Sus scrofa: one gene and its partner. The protein of the gene in region 1 binds, or shares a complex with, the protein of each later gene. Links are inferred from orthologs where the notes say so. Each region holds a gene or a part of one and is shown in the gene's direction. Other genes may lie near its edges. The genes, in order: NHP2 and NOP10.

Evidence for each region.
Region 2: NHP2 (region 1) and NOP10 share a complex: the UniProt entries of both Homo sapiens proteins name them as parts of the H/ACA small nucleolar ribonucleoprotein (H/ACA snoRNP) complex. The link is inferred for Sus scrofa from reciprocal best matches to the Homo sapiens genes NHP2 and NOP10.

What each region holds. Positions count from the first base shown.
Region 1 is NC_010444.4:80,221,776-80,226,312, forward strand, and holds the start of NHP2 (H/ACA ribonucleoprotein complex subunit 2), read left to right. Parts: upstream 1-1,663; 5' UTR 1,664-1,737; coding exon 1,738-1,897; intron 1,898-2,253; coding exon 2,254-2,323; intron 2,324-4,266; coding exon 4,267-4,372; exon of another isoform or gene 4,373-4,537. UniProt on the Homo sapiens protein: Required for ribosome biogenesis and telomere maintenance. Part of the H/ACA small nucleolar ribonucleoprotein (H/ACA snoRNP) complex, which catalyzes pseudouridylation of rRNA.
Region 2 is NC_010449.5:80,159,617-80,162,885, forward strand, and holds NOP10 (H/ACA ribonucleoprotein complex subunit 3), read left to right. Parts: upstream 1-1,407; 5' UTR 1,408-1,514; coding exon 1,515-1,568; intron 1,569-1,864; coding exon 1,865-2,005; 3' UTR 2,006-2,683; downstream 2,684-3,269. UniProt on the Homo sapiens protein: Required for ribosome biogenesis and telomere maintenance. Part of the H/ACA small nucleolar ribonucleoprotein (H/ACA snoRNP) complex, which catalyzes pseudouridylation of rRNA.

The sequences.
Region 1 (4,537 bases):
TTGTTTCCACAGAGCCAGGATGGGAACTCCTAAAATACTAAAAAAAAAATTTTAAAAAACAGTATTATGTAATGACTGCACTTGGTTGCGAGGTTAAAAGGTCAGGCTTTCGGTTGGCTTGACTGCCATGCGCTGGCAAGCCACCTGCAGACTTCTAAAGTTCCACTTTCAGGAGTTCCCATCATGGCTCAGCTATAACAAACCTGACTAGGATCCATGAGGACTTGGGTTTGATCCCTGGCCCCCGCTCAGTGGGTTAAGGATCTAGCTGTGCCGTGAGCTGTGGTATAGGTCACAGACGCTGCTCAGATCTGGCATTGCTGTGGCTGTGGTGTAGGCCTGTGGCTACCGCTCTGATACAACCCCTAATCTGGGAACTTCCATAGGCAGTGGGTGAAGCACTAAAAAGAAAAAAAAAAAAAAATTTCCACTTTCTGGGCTGTTCCACCACCACAAAAATGGAGGGCCTAACACCGCATGATCAAGGCAACTGACTTACAGCAACGATCTAATTAATATCCACCCAATAGGACACAAGAAATAAGGCAGAGGTACAAGATCCACCCTGGTCTAGGCCTGCTTGCCTCTCCAGCGGCACCATCCACTAATCCTCTACAGATAACTACACACAGAGTGCCTACTCAGAGCTCTCCCCACGACGCCCCAACTTCTCAGCTTCAGTGTTCAAGCCTTCTTCTGCAGTTCCCGCTGTCTCCGCAATGCCTCCCCTGTGCGTGATGCCAGGCAGTGGTAGGAACGATGAGGAAAACAGAGGGTTAGGGGATGCCGATGCAAGGTGAGCCTGAACTGCAATTTTTTTTTTCCCATGCCAGTGGAAGTTCCCGCCGCCAGAGACGGAACCCGCGCCACAGAAGCAACAGTGACAACACTGGATCCTTAACTAGCTACGCTACAAGGGAACTCCCAAGGACTGGAATTTTAGGTTAAGTGTGGTCAGGAAAATCTCCCACATGGGTAACACCTGAGCAGGTCTCTGCGGGAAGGGCGGGAAAGAAAGTCACCGGCTCTCTGGGGAAAAGCGGTCCAGATCGAGGCACTCAATGAATGGGGCCATCCCTTACCAGGAAAGAGAGCAGAGCGTGAGAAATCGTGCTAGAACGAAGAAATCGTTATCAATTAAGTTAAGGCTTTACTTTAACCTTAGTACCTAGGGTATACGCCACCAGGACCGGCTCTGGACCCGGGACCTGACCAGGCTCGGCACTGCCCATTGGAGGGATCAGATTCTAAGGAGGTGTGGAATCACACTGGGCCGACCTCTGGTAGCAGAACCCGCCCTTTAAGCTAGGATCCGTCCTTTTAGACTTGGTCACGCCCCCCACAGGTACAGCCTCCGCCCCCTCGTCTCCAGTATGGTTGACGCGCAACTCTCAGACGAGCCAGACGAGCCGAGGCAGCCGTCCCAGTCCCTCTTCTCCTCCTCCAGGCCCCGCCTCCCTCCGGGCTCCGCCCCCTCCCTCAGAGGTCCTCGGACTCCGGCCTTAATCCGCCCCGCCTCAGCTGTGGGAATGGTCCTGCCCCTACCGCCGAGACTCTGCCCCCCGCTCTATATTTAACGAGTTTAGCATCGGTGATTGGTCAGAGTCTGGGACCTGGGTTCCTAATTGGCTGTCGTGTACTGACTGCTTCCCTCAGAGGGGCATGACCCGGAAGCGATTTCTGAAGCGCCGGCCGCGTGTACTCGGTTCTTGGGCACTTGGTTGCCGAGTTGCTGCCATGACCAAAATAAAGGCAGATCCCGACGGGCCGGAGGCCCAGGCAGATGCGTGCTGCGGGGAGCGCACTTATCATGAACTGCTGGTGAATCTGAACCCCATCGCGCAACCCCTGGCTTCTCGCAAACTGACACGGAAGCTCTACAAATGCATCAAGAAAGGTGCGGTGGTGGGATGGATTGGGAGTTTGGGGTTAGCAGATGCAAACCACTGCATTTGGATTGGATAAGCAATGAGATCCTGCTGTATAGCACAGGGAACTATATCTAATCACCTGTGCTGGAGGATAATGTGGAAAAAAGGAATGTATATAAATATATAACAGGATCACTTTGCTATATAGCAGTAGTTGACAGAACATTGTAAGTCAACTATAATAAAAAACTTTTTAAAGAAAATCTACAGCCTCAGAAAATAAATAAAAATTTTAGAAAAGAGAGATGCGGCGGACGCCGGGCAGGGTGGGGACGCTGGTGGTGGCCCAAGGCCCCCGGGGCTGATTCCCCTGTCGTTGCAGCCGTAAAGCAGAAGCAGATTCGGCGCGGGGTGAAGGAGGTTCAGAAATTTATCAACAAAGGCGAAAAAGGGTAAGAACCCCCTACTGCCCGGTTTTGCATTTCTAAACGATGACGAAAGTATCCCTCCTACTTAGTAGGTAAAAGTGCTCTGACTTGCCCTGATATTCAGGTGATTAGTCGGTAAATTCCTTTCAGCACAGATGTCAATACATCACTTGCACGAGCTCTAAGGGACGGCCATGGGGAAAGAGAATTCCAGGGGAAGCCAGTCATATAAGCCAACTCACTTCAGGTAGATCCCAGCTTCATTCATGCAGCCACTATTTACTGTCTGCCCCTTTTCAGGCACTTGCTACAGGAGGAGATAGTGACATTAACCACACAGGATTACAACTTGTCATAGGCAACTACAGAAGGGAAAAAAGTACAGGGTGCGGTGAGAATGACTTCATTACCCTACATCTTCCCTATTTGGCATTTGTCAGATTCAGGAACTTATTTACGTTTCTATCTTATTATTATTATTATTTTTTTTGTCTTTTTAGGGCCGCACCCAAGGCATATGGAGGTTCCCAGGCTAGGGGTTTAATCGGAGCTGTATCCCCAGGCGTACCTCACAGCCACAGCAACATGGGATCCCAGCCACATCTGCGACCTACACCACAGCTCACAGCAATGCCAGATCCTTAACCCACTGAGCAAGGGCAGAGGCCAGGGATCTAACCCACGTCCTCATGGATACACGGTTCATGCCACGACGAGAACCTCCTTACTTATTTACATTCTTACTCCCTTTCTCTCTCACTTATATCAGAAAATAAGTTCTTTGAGGACAGGATGAACCGTCTCACTGCTTTATTTCCTTTCCAGAAGTGTGTGGTACATTGTAGTTGCTCAAGATATAAAAAATGATGGGGGGGTGATGCTAGGTGGGATAGCTGAGGTCTGAAGTTCTAGGAATTTGTGTGGGGGAGGGAGGAGCATTCTGTCAGAGGAAAGTGAATCCCAGGGCAGGAGAGGATAGTAGTGGGCAGAAGTGCTGTCCTCTCATGGGGCTTTGTAAGCCATGGTAAGTTTAGTTTTTGTACTCAGAGCTTTGGAGGCCACTGAGGGTTAAAGCCAGGGCGTGACATAATTACATTTACACCTTAAGAAGATGTTTCTGGAAGCTTTGGGAAGGATAAGAGATGGAAGACTAGATGGGGAAGTTGAGATAGGAGGCTGTTTTGGTGCAGAAGAGGTGAGGGCAATTTTGATTAGGTTAGTGATGGCAGAGATGGAGAGAATTAAAGTGGATGGATGAGAAGACTTTTGGACATACAGTGAAGAGGTATGGATTCGAGGCGAATGGACAGAGGGCCTACTCACTGAGAGAGTGAACAGTGGAAGAGGCTGAGTTTGTACAGGAAGATCACAAGTTTGGTTTTAGACAAGTTTGAGGTGCCTTTTATTTTTTTTATTTTTGGCAGCATCTGCAGCACACGGAAGTTTCCAGGCCAGGGATCAAATCCAATCCGAAGTTGTGATCTTTGATCTGTGCCACAGCTATGGCAACACCAGATCCCTAACCCACTGCCCCAGGCTGAGGATCAAACCTGCACTGATTCTCTGGACCTTAAAATGCTTTCCCTGTCCTCATCCCCTCCATGGGCTGCCTGACCGATGTTCATCATTCAGGTCTCCTCTCAAGTATTGCTTCCTGATTTCTTTTCTGAGCTCTTACTGCTTGGCATCCCTCCCATACCTCATCTGTCTCAGCCCAATACCTTTGTTACACTTGGTGGGTTTACTTGTTGCCAAGCAATAGAGATCACCTCCCAGAGGAATGCACTCCCCAAACCAATCTGCACGTACTTCCAGAGGTTTGGCGACACACATTAATAATTGGGATCCTTGATGGCAGGAGCCAACTTACCCATCTCTGTACTCCCAATGGCCAGCTCAGAGGTGGCACTTATAACTGAAAGAGGGAACAAGCAAGCTGGAAATGACAGTGGCTTCTCTCATTTCAGGATCATGGTTTTGGCAGGAGACACGTTACCTGTTGAGGTATACTGCCATCTCCCAGTTATGTGTGAAGACCGGAATTTGCCCTACGTCTATATCCCCTCTAAGACGGTAAGGAGGCTTGGGATAAGGTATGTGGCAGCAGATCATAGTGGGAAAGAGCCTGAGCTTTGGAGTTAAAAGATAGGCCTGGGTGGATTCTTGGCTTTGCTCCTTCCTAGATGAGGGATGGCAGATAAGTTACCTCTCTGCACTTCCATTTCCTTCTTGTAAAAT
Region 2 (3,269 bases), on another chromosome or scaffold:
TTGTTGCACACCTCTCTGGGGCAACTTGCAGATTCTTTCCTGGATTCCCAACCACATCTTGGTTCCCTACAGAATTCTTCACCAATACATCTAGTTTTTGTCTTTCAATGCTACCCAGTTCTATAACTGACTTCCTATTAATAACAGGTTCTGGCAAACCCTTGACTTAATTCAGTGTTGGCTGTATTTTCTGAACCAAATTCAGAGCACATAGTCTGTGTACTTAAGGATCAAGGGAACAGAATGTTTGAAATTAGGGTTGTCTTAGAAGATCAAGGGCATTGAATTGCTGTATACATATCATTTCCTTGGAAAGCTGTGCTGCAGTTCCCAAACTGTCCACTACCATCAGCTCTGCAGTCCACAGAAGGCTTAGCCTTAACCCTGGCTGAAAAGCCTCCCATTCCATCAAAAACTGCTATTCAGCCTAAAATTTCAAGAGCAAAAAGTCCTTCTTTTTGTTTGTTATTTTTGTTTAAAATTTTTGTTAATAATCTTAATTTTTTAAATGGTAATATGTCAGCATGGTTCAAAAGTCAAACTATGCAAAATGAAATATAACAAGTCTCCAACCATTCCTTTCCTCTGGAACCGAGTTATTTACCCCAGGGAAAACCAAATTTCCTCTGAATCCTTGCAAAGGTATTTTATGCAATTATAATAAACACAAACTATACTCTTTTTAAAAAAGCTTTCAGCTTTTTCTGGTTATAAACTTAATATATATTACAACGTTTCTGCCGTTATAAATAATAACGGCCACCTTCGTAAAGATATCTCGGTTCCAAATTCATTGCTTTAACTAGAAGTCCTATAAGGAGAATTTGTACGTTCTTTTAAAAATTCGAAATACCCCTAAGGGGTGCGTCTTATTAGCTACTCACCACTATAAGAATGGGCGTTGAATTTGTGGTAGAGACTTGAGTTTGAATCTTGGTTCGACCATTAAAACATACTTCACCAGTTTCATAAAATAACTTCACGCTCTTTTCGCTGTACAGAATATTGAATACCCATCATGCACTCTTTACCGCCAATACTTTGAAATAGGGCGAGGGAACCGGATGTAAAAGAGGGGAGGGAAGAAAACCTTCTTCTTTCTTCCCTAAAGTAAAAGGGGTTCTGGGTCCTGGAGCCCTGGTTTCTCCAGGTAATAGAAGCTCACTGCCTCTGAAATGGGTGTGTATCTTGTGATAAAGACAGGATTTTATTCATTAATGTTCAATCTATATCCATCCCTTCCCCCCACTGACGCCAAGCAGTGCCTAGCACACAGTGGGCACACTCCACGTGTCTCATAACGCCTGCAAGTTTGCAACTGGATTGCAACTGGCCAAGTCCTGCGGTAGTGCCCCCTTCCGGCCGGCTGGAGAAAGGCCTAAGTTGGACTACATTTCCCGGCGTGCTTTGAGAGCGAGACTTCCGTCTATACCGGAAGGAAGTTGCCAAACACTTTAGGCCTTCAGTTAGAAGCAGCTGCGGAAGGACCTGCGTCTACTGGCTTCAGCGTGATCATGTTTCTCCAGTATTATCTCAACGAGCAGGGAGACCGGGTCTATACCTTAAAGGTGAGAAGAAACAGGTTGTAAATGGGCATGACGAGAACTGTAGTTGGGAGGGGCGGTCAAGGCAAGCCAGTGAATTGCCTGCCTGGGTGAGGGGAACTAGAAAGCCCAGAAGCTACGCGTAGTAGAAGCAGGAGTGTCTGGCTCCTGGATCCGACCGTCGCGTGTCCTGTCTTCATGTTTACCTTTTTCCGCGTTGCCCCCTCCCCATCCCAGGCCCCATCTCTCATGACTCTCAGTGATAGGGTTTTCTCACCACTCCATTACTGAGATTTGTTATCTCTTTCCTCCTCGAGCAGAAGCTCGACCCCACGGGACAACAGACTTGCTCGGCCCATCCTGCTCGGTTCTCCCCAGACGACAAATATTCTCGACACCGGATCACTATCAAGAAACGCTTCAAGGTGCTTATGACCCAGCAACCGCGCCCCGTCCTTTGAGAATCTCTTAAAATTGTATGCTGCCTGCTAGCGCTCAAGAGACTGTGCAACCAAGCTCTTCGATCTGTGAGCCTTGAAGATTTACTCCAACCCTTGCTCATTAGAATCCGGTCTCATCATTGCCTTTGATCATGCTTGTTGTGAAGCAGTCATGCTAGCATTCCCTTTAAAGGGAAAAAGTTTGAATCTTTTTTTTCATACTTTGAATCACTGCCATGTTATTAAAATGATTTGAAAGAGCTCTTATTTTGTATGTTGTAAGAAGAGAGGATTGGTTTAAAAACAAACGAGGGAGATGAGAGGGAAGAGTACCCCAGGGATACAAGACTTCTTGGTGGCTGCTGTAGCAGTAGTGCTATGCTATGAGTCATAGGAGGGGGCTGGGGAAAGGGAGGAAAGCTTGAGAAAGACTCATCTGCAACAGCCACCTTCACTTGGCCAACCGTTGTGAATAGGAATGCCTTTATGTGTGTTTACTGACCCTGTGGAAATATTCCCAGGCCTTTAGTTCTTTCCATCAAGGAATTCTCTTCTTACATACACCTAACTTCACATTCTGTCTGCTATGTGGAATTCTACATGGATCTTAATTTAGAAGATGAGGCATGAGAGATTCAAGCAGGGATTTTTATTTTTCATGCTCCTCTTGAGGGATCATTTTTATTAAATTGTGGAGGATGTCTTAGGCCTTGAGCTTCTGTCATGGGGTAATCACAAATTTTTAATCCGATTACTTCATAATAGAGGGATGATGAGGCATAATATTGTATACAGGTATCCAAGAAATCCGGGAGTTTCCTGGTGGTCTAGTGGTTAGGTAGGACTCTGCGTTTTCACCCCTGCAGCCTAAGTTCAATACCTGGTCTGGGAGCTGAGATCCCATCTCAGGCCACTGCATGCCTCCAGCCAAAAAAAAAGAAAGAAAGAAATGCTAATGCTAACTTGCTTTTTCCATTCCTTAGGTTAATCGACTCACTATTTCCTAATCTTCTCATTTCTGGCTTTTGACGTTGAATTTAAACGTTTTCTTAGTGCCACTGATTTAAAATTGCCTTTTGGAGATTGCATCCAATTGTACAATCTTCTTTTCCTACATAGGCTTCCAGAAGCAGATGTGACTTAAATAAGCGCAAATCTGATTTATCAAGAGTGGTCCTGGAAAGGGGTAAATGTGCTTCTCTTGGACTCTGATGTTCGATCATCCCAGCAGAAAAGTTATAGTTGTTGACTGCTGAGGGGGAAAAAAAAAACAAAAAACTCTAGG